3 linked regions of the Caenorhabditis elegans genome follow. The protein of the gene in region 2 purifies or fractionates together with the protein of the main gene of each other region. This does not show direct contact. Each region holds a gene or a part of one and is shown on either strand. Other genes may lie near its edges.

Region 1 (6,270 bases), on a different chromosome or scaffold from region 2:
CCAATCAAATGTGACGATGATACCCGTCTAACAGAAGAAGATGAAGACATTGAAAACGAGGCAATGAACAATGCCACCTTCGTCAAAGATTCGTTCAATTCTGCCACTATTGTGTTGGACGATTCGCAACCGTCTCCTTCCAACTCAACATTCGTGATCGGTGCAGCTCCAACGTCGGAAGCAGACGGTGTTCCTCCCATCAAGCGAAAGAGTCGTCGAACGGATCTTGGACCGCTCTAAATTCCAAGTTTTGTGTGTGAAAAATATTTAACACACCAATGCCTCCTCCTGTCAACTAATGATTAATTAACTTTTACTGTGAATAATAGTATTCGGGTACTAAATTGTGTCGTTTGACCCCCCATTCTGTCTTAAATAGATGATTTTAAATTAAGTAAACCTATTAGGCATTTTTCTTATCCATTTTTTCTCAAAATGCTTCAATAAAATTGAAAGTTTACACACTTTAATGTCTTCGTTTGGTTTTGCGTACAGCTTTTAGAACGTTCAGTAATTTATTGGGGAAATAAATTGAAAAATTAATTATCACAATAGAAGAAGACTACAATATATCGGAATGCAAATAGATTTATAAACATTTTTTGATTCTTATTCAAGACAAAAATTTTTATTTTCTTGGAATCAGTCCAAATTGCTGTGGTCTCAAAAGTGTAGCGACGACATCCTTCTCGAGTTGATCCATCTCAGAAATCACACTTTCCAGATCATTCTGCGTTTTTCCCGGAGCAGTGATGAGTTCAATATAGTACTTGATTTTTGGCTCAGTACCAGATGCTCGGAGAGTAGTGACACTTCCAGTTTTAAGGAAGAAAGTCACCATTTCCGAGGAAGTCGAGAGTGGAAGAACGGGCTTATTGTCGGGCTTTGAGTTGTCGTATCCGATCGTCAAGTCTCTCACGGATGCCACTTCGGCTTCTCCGATTTTCGTCGGGAACTTCAGATCGGCTCTCAATGTGCTGAAGAGCTTCTTGGTGACCTCCGGAGCCGGTACCATCCAATAAGTGGATCTGACCAAATGGAAGCCATATCGATTGTAGAGAGCGTACAGCTGGTCTTGCAACGATTTTCCCTCCGCGTGAAGGAAAGCGGCGATTTCGGCGAAAACTGCGGCAGCGGACACGCCGTCCTTGTCCATGGTATGCCCTGGCATGTATCCGATCGATTCTTCCCACGCCAGAATGACCTGATTTCCATCGGCACGGAGCTCCTCGGCTCGATTTCCCATCCATTTGAATCCGGTCAGGGTGGTCTCGTTTTTGAAGCCTGAATTTTATAGTTTTTTTTTGTTAATTGTAATTTTAATATTTTATATTCTAAACAGGGCTGCTGCTTTTTTTTTGGCAAAAATTACTTAAAATTCTTCAAAAATGTTGATTTTTAGTCGGTAGAACGAAAAAAATTCGAATTTTTTTTTCAACTAAAATCGAAAAACGAAAGTTTTTCTTTCGATTCTCGATTTTTAAAAAAAGTTTTAAAAGAAAATTGTAGGTTTCTTTATGTAGTTTTTCATCAAAATTTACAAAACTTGGATAAAAATTCGAATATTATTGTTAATTTTCTGATTTTTAAAAAATATAATTAGATTTTCCGGAAAATCGAAAATTTTCGTTTTTCAATGTTTTTCAAAAAAAAAACTCGGCTTCTTTTTCGTATTTATCAAAATCTTGCAAGATTGTTTTTAAAAATTAGGAAAAAACTAAAACCATGCGGCGAAATTGCGAAATGGCGTGCCGCGGACACGCAATTCCGCGGTACGCGGTTTTGCAACATTGCCGCACGGTTTAATTTCAGCATTTTTTTGAAAAAATTGTATCTTTTTCATCAAAAAGCAAATTTTTCTCTTTCGAAATTAAATTTCACCTTCTGCATCAGCAATTGTCTTGACAATTTGTGAGGACACAGCACTATTCAGAATGTATACTTTTGATGCATCAGCATTCGGATTCGCTTTTCTCCAGTTTGTCCAAATCCACCAAGTGATGAGAGCGCCCATCTCATTACCAGTGAACACACGCCATTCGCCGCTGAAAATTGAATTTTTTTGAAAATAAAATTTTTTAAAATATATATTTTGGAAATTCAAAAAACTTACTCTTTCTGCTTCTCGGCCATTTGAATTCTGTCGGCGTCTGGATCGTTGGCTAAAATAACTGTCGATCCATTTTTATCGGCAGTTTCCATCGCCAGCGTGAGCACTTTTCGTCCTTCTTCTGGATTTGGGAATGGAATTGTTGGAAAATCTGGGTTTGGATCTTGTTGCTCGGCCACCGAAATGAACGATGAAGCTGGGAATCCAAATTCGGCGAACATTCGTTTTGTGTAGTGATAGCCGATTCCATGGAACGCGGAATACGTGAATTTCAGCGGAGTTGAGCCATTGATTTCTCTGAAAATATTATTGGATTTACCTTTTTTTAAACGATTTTTTAAAATTTCTACAAACCTAGTGAAGTTCAACGATTTCTCAACTTCAAAATACGGGTCAATTACAACATCAGCTGAATGGAAAAGTGGCGAAGATTTGAGTTCACTCAAGTCCCAGTACTCATCTCTCGGCTGTGGCTCGGCCTCTTTGATTCTAACAATTTCCGTGTCATGTGGTCCAATGATCTGCAAAAAAAACCTTTTCTTTTTTAATCTTAAAAAGAATTAAATCTTAAATATTGATCTATTTACCTGAGCTCCATTGCTCCAGTACGCCTTATATCCATTGTCTTCCTTTGGATTATGTGATGCAGTAATAATAAGTCCAGCATCACATCCCAGCTTAATCGTTGCCCACGAGACAACAGGAGTTGGAGAGACTTCAGAGAAAAGATAAACTGGAATATTGTTACGAACAAAGACGTTCGCCGAGAGCTCTGCGAAACGTCGACTGTTGTAACGTCCATCAAATCCGATGGCGACTCCGTTCTTCGGTTGTCCATAGACGTTCAGCATGTGTCGAGCGAATCCGTGCGTGATTTGGATGATTGTAAGATCGTTGAGGCGTCCAAATCCAGCTTGCATTGGAGAACGGACACCTGGAAAAAATACGTTTATATTTTGAGCTGTACTTTTGAATCTCTACTGTTCTCCTGTTAATATCACCCAGCTTCTTCAGAGTGTAGACAGTGGAGAGACGCAGAGATGTGGGGACCGTGTGATACGGGAACACAAATCTTTGAGAATGCGCATTGCGCAAAATATCTCGTAGCGAAAACTACAGTAATTCTTTAAACTAGTGTAGCGCTTGTGTAGATTTATGGGCTCACTTGGTGTCTGGCTGTCCCAATATAGCTTGATCTACAAAAAATGCGGGAATTTTTTACCAGAAAAATGTGGCGCCAGCACGCTCTTAACCATGCGAATTCGGCTAAGAACTCTGCGTCTCTTCTCCCGCATTTTTTGTAGATCAAAGCGAAATGGGACTTTCTGACTCCACGTGTGGGCTCGGTTTTCGAGAATAAATGTTTTTCGAATAGCGACAGATACAGATTGTTTCGAAAATTGACTACAGTAGCCATTAAAAGAATTATTGTAGCTTTCGCTATGAGATATTTTGCGCGTCAAATAAGTTGCGCAATATGCATTCCCGTAATAATGAAGATTCACACTCTGTAAATCTACACAATTTCGGGTCTTCCTCCCTTTGTCCCAATATAGCTGCGTTTCTTCCACCGTTTACACACTGCAGCTGTGTAATATTATTTTCTTCTCACCAGCAGTTCCAAAAACCAATCGAGTATCCATACGAGCTTTCAATGCATCAACGTTCTTCTCATCAACCAGCTTTTGAATTTCATTACGATTCTTATCATTCTTATCCCAAGCGAGCCAATCGGCAACTTGCTTGTCAAGCTTTGCACATCCAAGAGTCATTCTGAAAATTAGAAAGTGCTTAAATTTTGCAATAAAATTGTGGAAAAGACAACAAAAGTTTTAAAAAATCGAAATTTTGCAGATAAGGACACTAATACCACAATTATTCCGACATGTGTGGATGAGAAAAGGCCAGGTAAATGACCTTGCCGTTTCTCTATTTCTCTGCGAGTAACCCACTATCCCTAGATTTGGAAAAGAGATAAAATCAACAATAATTGATGGAGGTATTGTGGAAACTGTGAAAAAGACAGTATCGGGTTTCAGTAAATATTTAATTTTCGAATTTAGGTGAATGTTGAATGCAAAAAGAATTAACAAAAACGTCCAAAAAATATTTCTAGGCACAAAAACCGTTGAAAATTACATAAGTTAGATAAGTGGAATGTTTAATTCTTGCAGAAACCGATCAGCATGAAAAATCTGAAAATTAAACAGAAGATTGATAAAATACTTAAACATCAAAAAAAAATCGGTGATAATGTTCTCGGTTTTCAGTTTTCAGATGATGATAACAAATAATAATACACGCTTTGATAAGAAATCATTCGGAAAAAAAATGATCGGCGAGAAAAAATAGAGAAAAATATCGTTAGAAATAGGTTTTCTCGAGTTGTGATGGAAGACGTTCGGTAGTTTTCGATGAGATGAAGGCGCGAACTTCTTCAGGCGATGGAACGTAGTCGTCGACATTCATCTCACTCAGCTTTACCCATTGGTTCACGAAGAGTGCTGAAAATCAATTTTATTTCATTTTTGACTCTTTTTGATTTTTTCCCAACATTTCCAGGATCTCAGTGTTCCATCCAAGCTCGTCGACGAGATGACTGATCCCATGAGATTATATCGAAGCCTCCATGCTTTTCGATGATCCCCGAGCAGTGCCACCTTGATCAGATTGTAATCCGCCAGCTGAATCGGATTCTCGACACCGTCTTCTTCGAGAATCGCCGAACGAGCCACTTTGATGTTGTAGACGTGAACATCGCCTGATGCAACGGCTAATTGATGCGAATCCACCATCGATATCGGCGAGAATCTGAACATTTTAAATATTATAGTTAAAATAGCGGAAATTTTTTTTTGAAATTTTCAGACAAAAAATTGATAAAATAGCGGATTTTTCAAGAAAATTCGATTTTTTTTGAAATTTTTAGACAAAAATTATTAAAATAGCGAATTTTTCAAGAAAATTCCAATAATTTTTGGAATTTTCAGACAAAAAATTGATAAAACTGCGGACTTTTCCAGAAAATTCAATTTTTTTTGTTGGAATTTTTAGACAAAAAATTGTTAAAATAGCGGATTTTTCAAGAAAATTTTAAATATTTTTTGAATTTTGTTAAAATAGCGGAATTTTCAGAACATTTCAATTATTTTTAAAATTTTCAGGCAAAAAATTGATAAAATTGCGGATTTTTCAAGAAAATACGATTGTTTTTGAAATTTTTAGACACAAATCCGATAAATATCGGATTTTAGAAAATTCGATTATTTTTTGGAATTTCTAGACAAAAAATTATTCAAAGAGCGGATTTTTTAATACTGAAAAATCTGCTATTTTCAATGGAAAGGCAAGCGCGCTGTAATAATTATTCGGCTCCGAGGAGAGCGTGTTCTTCCTACTTCAAATCAGTAATCGGGCATGGTAGATCGAAGACTAATGAGTTGATTCGCTGCCATTTCCTCAATCCATCAATATTCTCATAGATCACAACTCGTTTCTTGTTCTCTGCCTTCTTCTCATCCGAACCAACAGCAATCAACGGGCGGTGCATACGAGAAAGTGACCATGTGACACATCCACATCGGGTATGAAACGCTTGAAGCTCGTGAATAAGATTCCATCGAGAAGCGTCCACAATATCCGGTGCTTCGTAGATTCTGACGGTTCCGAGAACGTTGCATGATGCCATCATGAGACCCAGATGGCGCGGGGAGAAGCAGATATCGGTGACGTCTGAACGATTATCGGAGATGATTGTTCTTCGGATCCATTGGGATTCTTTTTGCTCTGAGAGATACATAATGTTTTGGATTATATTTAGAGCGAATTATACTCACTCAGATCTTTCTCTGATCTCACAATTTGCTCCTCCCAAATTACAATCGTTCTGTCGTAGGAGCAGGTGCTGAAAATCAATCAATAAAGTATATTCGGGTGACAGTTTCTAGTTTCTTACGCAACAATCTGCCCAAATTCCGGATGAGCCCAAATAACGCGCCAAACTGCTCCACCATGACACTGAAATGAGGAAAATTATTTTATTTTCTGAAATTTCTTTTCTACCTTCCAGTGTGCAGATCTACGCCAATTTCCGTCTGGCTTTCGATCCCAAATCGCCATTGTCATATCGCTGGCACATGTTGCCATTCGTCGGCCATGAG
Region 2 (4,689 bases):
AAAAGATAAAGGGCGAGCTCTTAAAGAGTACTGTAGTCTCAAACTTTCGTTGACGCGGAATTTTCGTCAATTTTTCAGAGTTTGATAATTTTTTGTTTATTAAAATCTCAACAAACCGTAAAAAAATGTAAAATCGATTGAAAATTGAAATTACAGTACTCTTTAAAGGCGCACACCTTTTCGAATTTAACAAAAATTGATGTGGCGAGACCGGGTAACGTATTTTCGCCGAAAAATTGTTGAATTTAAGATAATTTTATGCAAGTATGGGAGTATTATGAAAGATTGTTAAATGTTTTTTATCTGAATTTTTACGATTGGGTTGGCTGTAAGAATTTTAAGATGTTTTTTTTTTAACTTTCAGATTGTATTTTTTACCAGGGGTGGGCGGAAACCGTTTTTTTCCGACAAACGACAAATAGGTAATTTGCAGAAAATGACAATTTCCGGCAAATCGGCAAACCGGATCTATTTGCCGAAAAACGGCAATTGCAGAAATTTTCGGCAAATTGTGGTTTAGCACACTTTTTCGGGAAATTTCAGAATTTCTCTTTTAATCGGCAAAATTGTACTTATCATGAATGCTCCTACATCTATTCTGAAAAGTAAGCAAATTCTATGAAAATAATATTAATTTTCAAAATGGCTCAGTTTTAAGTATTTCCGTCTTAAAAAACACACTTCCGGCAAATTGACATCCGGCAATTTGCGGGAATTGAGAAATTCCGGCAAATTGGGAAACCGGCATTTTGTTGACTTGCCAAATTTGCGGAGAAAAGCTTGCCAAACGGCAATGGCCGCCCACCTCTGATTCCTACCTCTAAAGAGCTCTGAAAAGAAAAATTGCAAGAATCCGCTTCTGGAGCTATTCTATCGGCCTTCAGTTGGGTTCTTGAAAATATATTCACCTAAAATATTTCAGAATAGGTGCACATGTTTCCAGATGCACATGTCTTCTGGTGTTCCCCCTTTCAGAAATAATAAAATTCCATAAAACAATCTTCAATATGTCACGTACTCACTTTGATCTTATCATCCTCTCGATTAGCAGTTCAGATCATAGAACAGACTATTTGAGACACAGACACCCAATCAAATGTTTTCAAGTGATGATTTCCTAGTTCTCATCATATGGAGCAAATATGGGCGGTGCTTATAGTCCAAAAACACACGTTCATTTCACAGCGGATGGAAGTATAAAAGGTGAAGTTTGGAATCTGATGAAACATGTCTTCTGGTTTTGCACTTTTTTGTAGAAATTGTTACCTCAAGTGTGAAAGTACTTTACTAATGTGTTCCCGGCGAAAAATGATTTTAATTGGACCGTCTTTTTTTCATAGAAACCATCCAGAATTCCAGTAGTGAAAGTTCACAAGTTTCAGATAAATTTTAGGGTATTTACAGTAAAAGAAACTAAATAATTTTTTTGAAAATTTCAAAAATCTCGGATATTTTAATTGTTAAATTCGATCATCTTACAATTAGACTTCTATTAGTAAAGGCGCACACTATTTTTATCAGCTTTATTAAAGATAGGGATTCCATTTAGGCTTTAAAAAGGCAGGCGTCAAGCCCTGAAACCGAGCCTGCTTACCATGGATGCCCTACTCAATCGTAAATCGAAATAAAATAATATGTATAACTAATTTTCAAAGGTTTGTATTACGGGAACACAGTTCTGAGAATGCGCATTTACGGGCTCGATTTTTGAAATTCTGTTCATAAATAAATTATTTTAACTCATTCCGAAAATCGTGCCCGTAAATCGACACCATCACTACAGTAATCACTGAAAGAATAGTTTTCGCTACGTGATATTTTGTGCGTCAAATATGGTGTGCAAAACGCATTTTCAGAATTTTGTGTTCCCGTAATATCAATTTGATCTTCCGCGTCTACCAATAGATCAAATTACTTTGATACCAAGAAAAATGATGACAATAACTGCCGCCCGCCCTTATCGTTTACTCATCTCGCACGTATTATTGTTTTCTACCTGATTGGTCTTCATTTCTTATCACTATCGTTATATCTTTTCGTTAATTTTGTTCTTATTCTTTTTTATTACGCTTTTTGTTGAAAAGTTCGTCTTTTTGCAACATTATAGTGTAGTGGATTTAATTACTCCCTTTATTTGAATTCCTGCGAAAAATCTTTTTAAAACTCTTATTCCATTTTTTTTTTCAGAGTATTAGTTATCCTCTGCCAATCAACTCATCATGTCCCGCGAACTTATGGTCGAAACCGGTGGTGAGCTCATCGGAAACACCCCACTCCTGAAGCTCAACAAGATCGGAAAGGATCTCGGTGCATCGATTGCCGTCAAGGTAGAGTACATGAACCCTGCCTGCTCGGTCAAGGATCGTATCGCGTTCAACATGATCGACACAGCTGAGAAGGCCGGGCTCATCACCCCCGGCAAAACTGTGCTCATTGAGCCAACCAGTGGAAACATGGGAATTGCGTTGGCCTACTGCGGAAAACTTCGTGGGTACAAAGTTATTCTTACGATGCCAGCGTCGATGAGTATTGAGAGAAGGTGTCTGTTAAAGGCCTACGGTGCTGAGGTGATTCTTACCGATCCAGCGACCGCGGTCAAAGGAGCTGTCCAAAGAGCCGAAGAGCTTCGCGATGTGATTCCAAATGCGTATATCTTGAACCAATTCGGAAATCCAGCAAATCCAGAAGCCCATTATAAGACTACAGGACCAGAAATTTGGAGGCAGACACAGGGCAAGGTTGATATCGTATGCTTCGGAGTTGGATCAGGTGGAACTTGCACTGGAGTCGGACGATTCTTGAAGGAGAAGAACCCAAGTGTTCAAGTGTTCCCAGTTGAGCCATTTGAGAGTTCTGTGATCAATGGACTTCCACATAGCCCACACAAAATTCAAGGTGAGCATTTTTTTTCCAAATTTTCGGGGCTGGGGAATTGTAAATCAAACAAAAAAAAGTCGATGCACCATGTCAAAAACGGTTATATTTTCTATTTCCAGGCATGGGAACCGGAATGATTCCTGACATCCTCGACTTGACCCTTTTCTCCGAGGCTCTGCGAGTTCATTCCGATGATGCTATTGCAATGGCCAAGAAGCTTGCCGACGAGGAGTCGATTTTGGGTGGAATCTCGTCTGGAGCCAACGTGTGCGCTGCAGTTCAGTTGGCCAAGCGACCGGAGAATAAGGGGAAACTAATTGTCACCACAGTTAACAGTTTTGGAGAACGCTATCTGTAAGTTTTATATTCAATATTATTGCAGAATTTTCAGTTTTTTCCATGAAAAAAATGTAGGGCTTTCATGGGCGGTAGGCGCGGTTTCAGGACCTGACGCCTGCCTCCAACCTCGAAAGTAATAATTTAACAATGAAATTAAACTCCAAATAGACCTTCCCAAAAACTGTAAAAACCCGAAAAATTGAAAAAGTTCAAGAAAATTCGAAAGCCAAGAATTGGGCGGGGCTCAATTTTGGTCACATTGGGTAAATGTTGTTTCTATAATTTGAAAATATAAAACTTTCTCGGGAATCTTTGTCTCAGATATTAAATATTTCAAAATAAGCCCCGCCCAATACTTGGCTATTTCAGTTCAACCGCCCTCTACGCCGAGCTCCGTGATAACGCCGCCAACATGAAACAGTTGAACCTCGACGATTCCATCAAGATTGCCAAAGAATACCTAGGAATTTAAACTTTCGAATTTCATATTGTGTGAAAATGTTTCATTCCAAAAAATGTTGTTTTGGAAAATAAATAAATTTATTTAAAAAAGACATGAATATTACACATTTCGTACAATGAAAAGACTTCAAAAACCCGGATAAACTATGAATCACTGAAAATTGAGTGGGTGTGGGGAAGGGTGAACACAGACAATTCGAAGAGGGGTGGGGGAAGAAAAATGAGAAGAGGCAAGTTTATAGTTCAGAGGGGAAATGAGAAGAAGAAGAAAAGACCGATAACAAAAATTATGAAACAAGAATAAAGAAGAAGAAGAAAACTATTTTTCAAAAGTAAATCTTCGGATTCACTTCAAGAATTTTTGAAAAAAAAGTTAATGCACATGAAACAAATAATTAAATAATCTTCTGTCCAGTGCCCAGAAGTGTATAAACCATAGCTCCAACAACACACTGAGCCGCCGTCACAACGAACACGTACGACCAGTTGTTATTCGTGGCTTCCAGGATGTGACCAGCAATGTAGACACCGACGAATCCGGTGATGGCGCCGCAGGCATTGAAAACTCCTGAAAAATGGTTATTTTAATATAACTTCTTTTTTGTTTTTTTCAGGCATCAATCTGGTGGGATTCCGGATCTAAAAAAATATTTTTTCGCCAAATCAGCAATTTGCTAGAAATGCAAAGTTTGATATTTTTGGCAATCAGAAAAAACTTTCGTGCTCATGTTCAGAAGAAGTCTACCCTTACCAAAAACAGATCCCGCATGATTTGGTGCAAAATCGTGTGGATTTACGGAAACACCACCGTGGTGTAGCCCTCTGGCAGCCATTGCCATAGTGAATATGATCAATGATATCCAGAACGATGATGTCATTGGTACTAGCATCAAACAGAATGCGATTCCCAGTAGACTGGCTCCTTCCATCAATTTTCTCGTATAGGTCACAGTTTTTCCCTCGGACAGCGCACGAGACGCCATCACTGGGGCCACCAATGAGGTGACAACG
Region 3 (6,331 bases), on a different chromosome or scaffold from region 2:
AAAATATAGATATTATGGGAACAAAAAATTCTGAAAATGCGTACTGCACAACATATTTGACGTGCAAAATATCTCGTAGCGAAAACTACAGTAATTCTTTGAATGATTACTGTAGCGCTTGTGTCGATTCACGAGCTCTATATTTATCGACTGAATAACAAATTTGAGAAAAAAAATTTGAGAAAATCTAGGGAAAATAAATTATTTAATATCGAAAATCGAGCCCGTAAATCGACACAAGCCCTACAGTAGTCATTCAAAGACTTACTGTAGTTTTCGCTACGAGATATTTTACGCAATACACATTCTCAGATTTTTGTGCTCCCGAAATATCGTAATTTTGCTAAAAATTGGCAATTTCAAAAGCACATGGGATTTTTTGAGTGGGTCTCGTCACGATCTCAGTCATAGAGATCGCTACAAATGCCAAAGTTCACAGATTTGTTAATTTTCATCTAGACTTTTTTTCAAGTTTAATAGTATTGGAGAAATAAATATTTGGATTCAGAATTGTTCATTTCTCTAAAAATAGTTTAAAATACAATACAAAATTCTTTCAAAAAAAAGCAAAATTATTTCTTGACGACCGCTTCGAGTTGTTTCTGAAGTGCATTTCGATGAGTTTCCCCGTTCCAGACGGCTTCCAGCACTTGTTTTTGCTCCGTTTTTCCTATTTTTACAGCGTTCAGCATAGCTTTCTGGGCTCTTGTCACTTTCAAACCAGCGCTAGCCACTTGGTTGATGAAGTTCTGAAAACATATTTCAATGTATTATAGCAATGGCGCTCCACGGCGAGGTAAAAATGCTCCGCCCCCAAACGTTGGGTCTCGTTAGGTATTGACTTTTTTCTTGCATACTTTTTCCGTTTTAAACATGTTTTTCATAATAATGGAAGAAACGGAAATTAATTTTAAGAAAAGACGAGAATAATTGAAAATGTTCGAATACCTAACGAGACCCAACGTTTAGAGGCGGAGCCTTTTCATTTGCCAGTGGAGCGCGAATGCACCTCGATTTTATGGGATTTCTAGGCGACAAATGACGTCACAGTTCCGTACCTCAGCTTCATCTTCACTTTTGTACACATAATCCACATATCCTTGATCCTTTGCTTCCTCAGCTGACATAACATTTGCCCGTCCCATTGCAGCTAATGCTCGTCCTCTACCCATAATTCCCTCCATATATTCGGCACCTCCCCACGACGGAACAATTCCCATTTTCGATTGAAAAAATGCGATTTTCGAGCCAGAATGAGCAATTCGAATGTCGGTCGACGAGCAAATTTCGGTGGCTCCGCCGAGTGCGTGGCCATGGATTTTCGCAATTGAAATAGCTGGTGATGAGTGGAGAAGTGAAAGAATTGATGACATGTACTCGAACATTTGGACGCCAAGCTTTTGGTCCGAAATCTGAAATTTAAACATTTGAAAGTTGGAATTTAAAAATTGGAATTTCATTACATCTTTGATAAGACCCAAATCAGCACCCGAGCAGAACGATTTTCCAACTCCCGAAACAACGATAATTGCGTTTTGATCATCGGAAAATAGCTGAAAAGTGATATTTCAGGCATTTTTACTACGGTCTCGCAACGAAAAAAATAATTTCAAATACGACTGCGCAAAAACATGTGTGTTTTAAAGTACAGTAACCCACTATATTGTGAAAATTTATAAAATTTAGCGAAAATTTATTTGCCTACTGTAAATAGCGCTTGTGTCGATTTACGGGGCTGATTTTCGAAATGAATTTTTTTCCGAGTAGCGACAGCGATATTCCATTTTCCTTCGTTCCAATATATTCTTTCAATAAATAAATTATTTCGATTCGTTTCGAAAATCAAGCCCGTAAATCTACACATGCGCTAAATACAGTAGGCGTCAAATATGTCGCGCAATACGCATTCTCGAAAGTTTTTGTTCCAGTAATAGTTGTACCTTCGAATATTCCAATATAATTGTGTAATTTAAATTTAATAATTTTTGATCTTCCCGTGAGAGCGTGTAAAATTAAAAAAAAAGGAATTTTTAAATAAATGAAATTGAGAGAGGCCGTGTAAAGCCGTGTAAATACGTGATGTTAAAACGGAATCAGATTTTTCAAAAAAATGAAGCAAGAGGATTGCAGAAGCAAGAGGATTGCAGAGCAAGTAGGACACGATGCGGTGCCAGTGAAAAAAGTTCCTTGGGAAGAGCAACAGTTGATGAAGAAAGTGAAGCGTCTGCAATCGGAGAACGAAAAGTTGAAGGTGCAGCTGGATGATATGGTGGATTGTTTTGTGGAAACGAAGGAGGCTCTTGAGAAGGAAAAACGTGTGACGGACTTCCTGAAAAAGGCGATTTCCGATCTCAAAACTCTTCCGATTGAATGTGAGATTTGTGCAGTACAATATGGGGATTCTGGAATGACCGTGCCTCGTGTTCTGCGTAAGTCTGCCAATGCAACTCATAAAATAATGATATTATTCTTATCATATTCAGCGTGTGGCCACACAATTTGCACCGAATGCGCTGGAAATATTATCCAAAACAAGATGATCCGTTGTCCATTCGATAGAAAAGTGTACAAGTTCAATAACAAGACGATCGAGAATCTGCCCAAGAATTTTTCTCTCATAAATCAGTAGAAATTCGAATAAATGATTTGAAAAATACTGTGTAGATTGATTCTGATTCTGAGATTCTTAAGGTCTTCGCGCAAAACTACAGTAACCGGTATCACAATAATTTCAAGTTCAGCCTGCGTAAAAACATGCGTGACAATTAAATTAGTACAGTAATCACGGGGTTCTGGCCTTTATCATTGAATTTTCGCGCTCCATTGACAATCGCCTGCCGGACAACGTGTGGAAAAGTGCCGTGTACTCCACACGGGCAAATACATCAATTTTACAACTAAAAACGAGCCGCGACGCGACACGCAACGCGCCGTAAATCTACATAAAATCTCTTCGACCCAAAATGGCCTAGTTCGGCAAACTCTGCCATTTCGATTTATGAGGGAAGCCAGAATTCCGTGATAATAATTTACCATATTGTTTCAAATTTTTTCTATTACGGGAACACAAAATTCTGAGAATGCGCATTGCGCAACATATCTCTTAGCGAAAACTACAGTAATTCTTTAAATGACTACTGCTGCCATTGTGTCGATTTACGGACTTGATTTTCGAAATGAATTTCTTTAAGACATCGATATTCCATTCTCATCTGTTTCCTCGTAATATTTGCTAGTTTTTTCTCAAATTTATTATTCAATCGATAAATAAATAATTTAAATTCATTTTGTAAAAAGAGCTCGTAAATCGACACAAGCCCTACAGTAGTCATGTCATTTACACGTGGTGTGAGAGTGTCCCATTTCGGTTTGATCTACGTAGATCTCGAAAATTTCGAGAATTTAGATGCAGACTTCTCAACTAGTGGTTAAGAACGTGCTGACGTCACATTTTTTGGGGTAAAAAATTCCCACTTTTCTTGTAGATCAAACAGTTATGAGACAGCCTGACACCACGTGCATTTGAAGAATTACTGTAGTTTTCGTTATGAGATATTTTGCGCGTCAAATATGTTGTACAATACGCATTCTCGGAATTTTGTGTTCCAGTAATATACTCAAGCATTTAGTATTAAAAAGTGCTGGAGAAATCGGTTGCTGCACTTCTTAAAGGCGCACACTGTTTTGCTCGGTCTCTACCTCTAATGCATCAAATTTCACGCGCAAATTCAAAAACTTGCCTCAGTGTGCTCTCCAAACTGCTTCATCATTTCTCCAGACAAACAATTATTCTTTTCCGGGCGGTCCAGAATTACGTCAAGTCTTGTTTTCAGCTTCTCGTTTCGCTGAACTCGAATCGCACCGCCTTGCCATGATTTAAAGACTTCCAGCAGTGCTGCGGATGGTCTAACCTGAAAAAATTCAATTCTAAAGGCACATAGTCGTGAATCACGCAATATTCAAATTTCGAAGAACATACCACTTTTCCAGACATTTTTGTCGCTCAGTTGCCCTGAAAAATTAGAAAAATCTTTTTATTTTTAGGTTATAAGCGGTTAGTGAGAAGAATAAGAATATATTTTCCCTATTTTTGAGTCACAAGTCGAAGCCCCGCCACCAAACGCAGGGTCTCATTAGGTATTGGCGGAAAAACAAGAAATTCAATAGTTTTCTTGACAGTTTTAGAATCCAAAAAACCGGTGCAAAATTTCATTTTCCTACAATTTTTGTACAAAAAACCGTACAACAAAGACCCCGCCCCTAAAATAGGCGGGGCTATGAACCATTTTGTGGGCGTGTCTGGCGGTAGATTTTACAACAAAAAAGTATGACGTGAATCGAGGAATCTACGAATATTTATTGCATCAATTGAAAAATCAATCTATCATCGCTTCTTGGCAATAGAGATAAAGTTGCAAAATTTCAAAATCTAAAAAAAGGAAGGATGGAAAATAATTTAATTTATTGCTATGAAACACGAGCGCTTAAAATGGGAGAGCCGGGGGGGGGAGGGGGAGTCAATAAATAAATATATAAAATTCAAATAATTAAATAGGACACAGAAGCGTGCGTTTTGCAAAATAAATTTTTGGGTGGAAAGAATGAAACAAAAAATGCCGCTAGAGACTGGAAGACGCAGAGATAGAGATAGGGGGAAAACATCACTGATCTGACGAAAATTTGGCCGAATCTGAAGAATTTTGGGGGGTACATTGTATCTAGAGAGCATGAAAAATTATGACAATTCGACCGAAGAAAAAGGCAATTTACTGGAATATATATTCTAATCAAGGGTGACGTCGAAAAATTCTGATTTTTCGGTATTTTGGGGTAATTGAAAAATCGAGAAAAAAAATCGATTTTTCCGAATTTTTCAATGCAAAAAAACGACACATTTGATTGCAATATACTTTGACTATTCAAAAATTTTGAAAAAAAAAGGTTAAAAAGGAATACTAAGTGATTTCAAATTGGAGTGGCACCTGGATTTCGCTATTTGATTAGTTTTGCACAATCTACTGGAAATTCTAAAATTGGAGAATCTTGGGGGATATCAAGAAATAGAAATAGGCTATCATTTTGTTTTTACATTAAAAAAAAATAAATCAGGGAATGTTACGAGAGAGATAGAGAGAAATAGACGACTAGACTATAATCCAAATGGATCGGCTGAGGCGGCCTGGGCCTGTTGAGCTTGTGCAGCGTTCTTTGCAGCCATCGCTGCATGAACCAATTGAATTTGGTGTTGCTGTTGTGGTGGAACAGGTTGTCCGTATCCATATTGTTGACCGTATGCTGCTGCAAAAAAAATAAGATTTTGAAAATCTACCGAAATATAGTGCCAGACACGCCCACAAAATGGTTGAATTCCTATTCTAGGCGTGGGGCTTTTTTGTTTTTGTTTGGTATTATTTAGACCAAAAAATAAACCAAAAACTGCTCACTTTCTCGCGGTTTTTTAATAAATTTAAGTATAAATTTTTTTTGTTGGTTTTTTGGCCCGAAATCCAACCCAAAAATGTTTTGCTATTTTTTGTCCAAAATTATTTTTCCGCTTATCCAAAAATTGCTGGAATATGAAATGTTCCACCGATTTTTCGATTTTAAATAAAACTGAATTTTTTCCAGAGGTTTAAATTTTATATTTTAGTATAAAATAGGTGTATGAGCATATTTCGAAAATGAAGCAAAAATTAACAAAAAATGCTTCAAAATCGATTTTCACATTTAAAATAATCTTGAAATATTGTGAAAAATTAGATAAAAATTCAATTGTTCCGAGATTCTAATTTTAAAAAAATTCCTCGTTTTTTCGATAAACTAACCCATCGCAGGATTCCACATTGGCTGAGCACCAAATGGTTGTTGATACATTCCCATTGGAGCCGTATACATTGGCTGAGGAGCCGACGTTGCTCCAAACGGATTGTTTGAGACGGCAGAAGTTGTGGTATTCCAGCCGGCCGGTGCTCTGTAACTAAGATATTTTTAGGCAAGATTTTTCGATTTTCTTTAGAAATTGTGAAATTTTGTAAAAGGTAATATGTATAATCTAGCCCTAGTGGTTCGTTCGTGTCGTGAGTCACGAAAAAAATTGCAACAAAAATTGCATTAAAATTGACAAAAATAATCCTACCCCTGCTGATTCAATGACATTTGTGCAGTCATTCGAGCAAGATCATCTGGATGAGCATTTGGATATCCGAATGGAGCAGCTTGATGACCTGGAATTAATATTTTAATTTTTACATTTTTTTGTTCAAATTTGAAGTCATCTGAAATGTGGGGTGGTTATGAAAAACTGTAAAACTGTATTAATGTTGAAGTAGAG

What was found. Proteins that work in one complex are often made in the same cells at the same time.
Region 1: the proteins of cysl-2 (region 2) and pgm-2 fractionate together in Caenorhabditis elegans (co-fractionation; one large-scale study listed by BioGRID). This does not show direct contact.
Region 3: the proteins of cysl-2 (region 2) and C32E8.9 fractionate together in Caenorhabditis elegans (co-fractionation; one large-scale study listed by BioGRID). This does not show direct contact.

The regions. Positions count from the first base shown.
Region 1 is NC_003281.10:13,296,991-13,303,260, reverse strand, and holds pgm-2 (Phosphoglucomutase-2), read right to left. Parts: upstream 3,884-6,270; 5' UTR 3,883-3,883; coding exon 3,723-3,882; intron 3,045-3,722; coding exon 2,698-3,044; intron 2,632-2,697; coding exon 2,465-2,631; intron 2,408-2,464; coding exon 2,114-2,407; intron 2,046-2,113; coding exon 1,882-2,045; intron 1,285-1,881; coding exon 629-1,284; 3' UTR 501-628; downstream 1-500. Other genes in the region: Kinesin-like protein klp-19, read left to right, coding at 1-240; npp-18 (Nucleoporin SEH1), read right to left, coding at 4,475-4,614, 4,665-4,921, 5,509-5,896, 5,947-6,014, 6,066-6,127, 6,173-6,270.
Region 2 is NC_003280.10:14,491,950-14,496,638, reverse strand, and holds cysl-2 (Bifunctional L-3-cyanoalanine synthase/cysteine synthase), read left to right. Parts: upstream 1-2,187; 5' UTR 2,188-2,219; coding exon 2,220-2,895; intron 2,896-2,996; coding exon 2,997-3,231; intron 3,232-3,585; coding exon 3,586-3,688; 3' UTR 3,689-3,765; downstream 3,766-4,689. Other genes in the region: vnut-1 (Major facilitator superfamily (MFS) profile domain-containing protein), read right to left, coding at 4,074-4,246, 4,430-4,689.
Region 3 is NC_003279.8:3,794,056-3,800,386, forward strand, and holds C32E8.9 (Ethylmalonyl-CoA decarboxylase), read right to left. Parts: upstream 4,014-6,331; 5' UTR 3,995-4,013; coding exon 3,980-3,994; intron 3,912-3,979; coding exon 3,741-3,911; intron 2,660-3,740; exon of another isoform or gene 2,630-2,659; coding exon of another isoform or gene 2,484-2,629; intron 2,430-2,483; coding exon of another isoform or gene 2,111-2,429; exon of another isoform or gene 2,104-2,110; intron 1,554-2,103; coding exon 1,464-1,553; intron 1,413-1,463; coding exon 1,059-1,412; intron 750-1,058; coding exon 573-749; 3' UTR 501-572; downstream 1-500. Other genes in the region: C32E8.1 (RING-type domain-containing protein), read left to right, coding at 2,111-2,429, 2,484-2,629; Phosphatidylinositol-binding clathrin assembly protein unc-11, read right to left, coding at 5,150-5,298, 5,826-5,977, 6,137-6,224.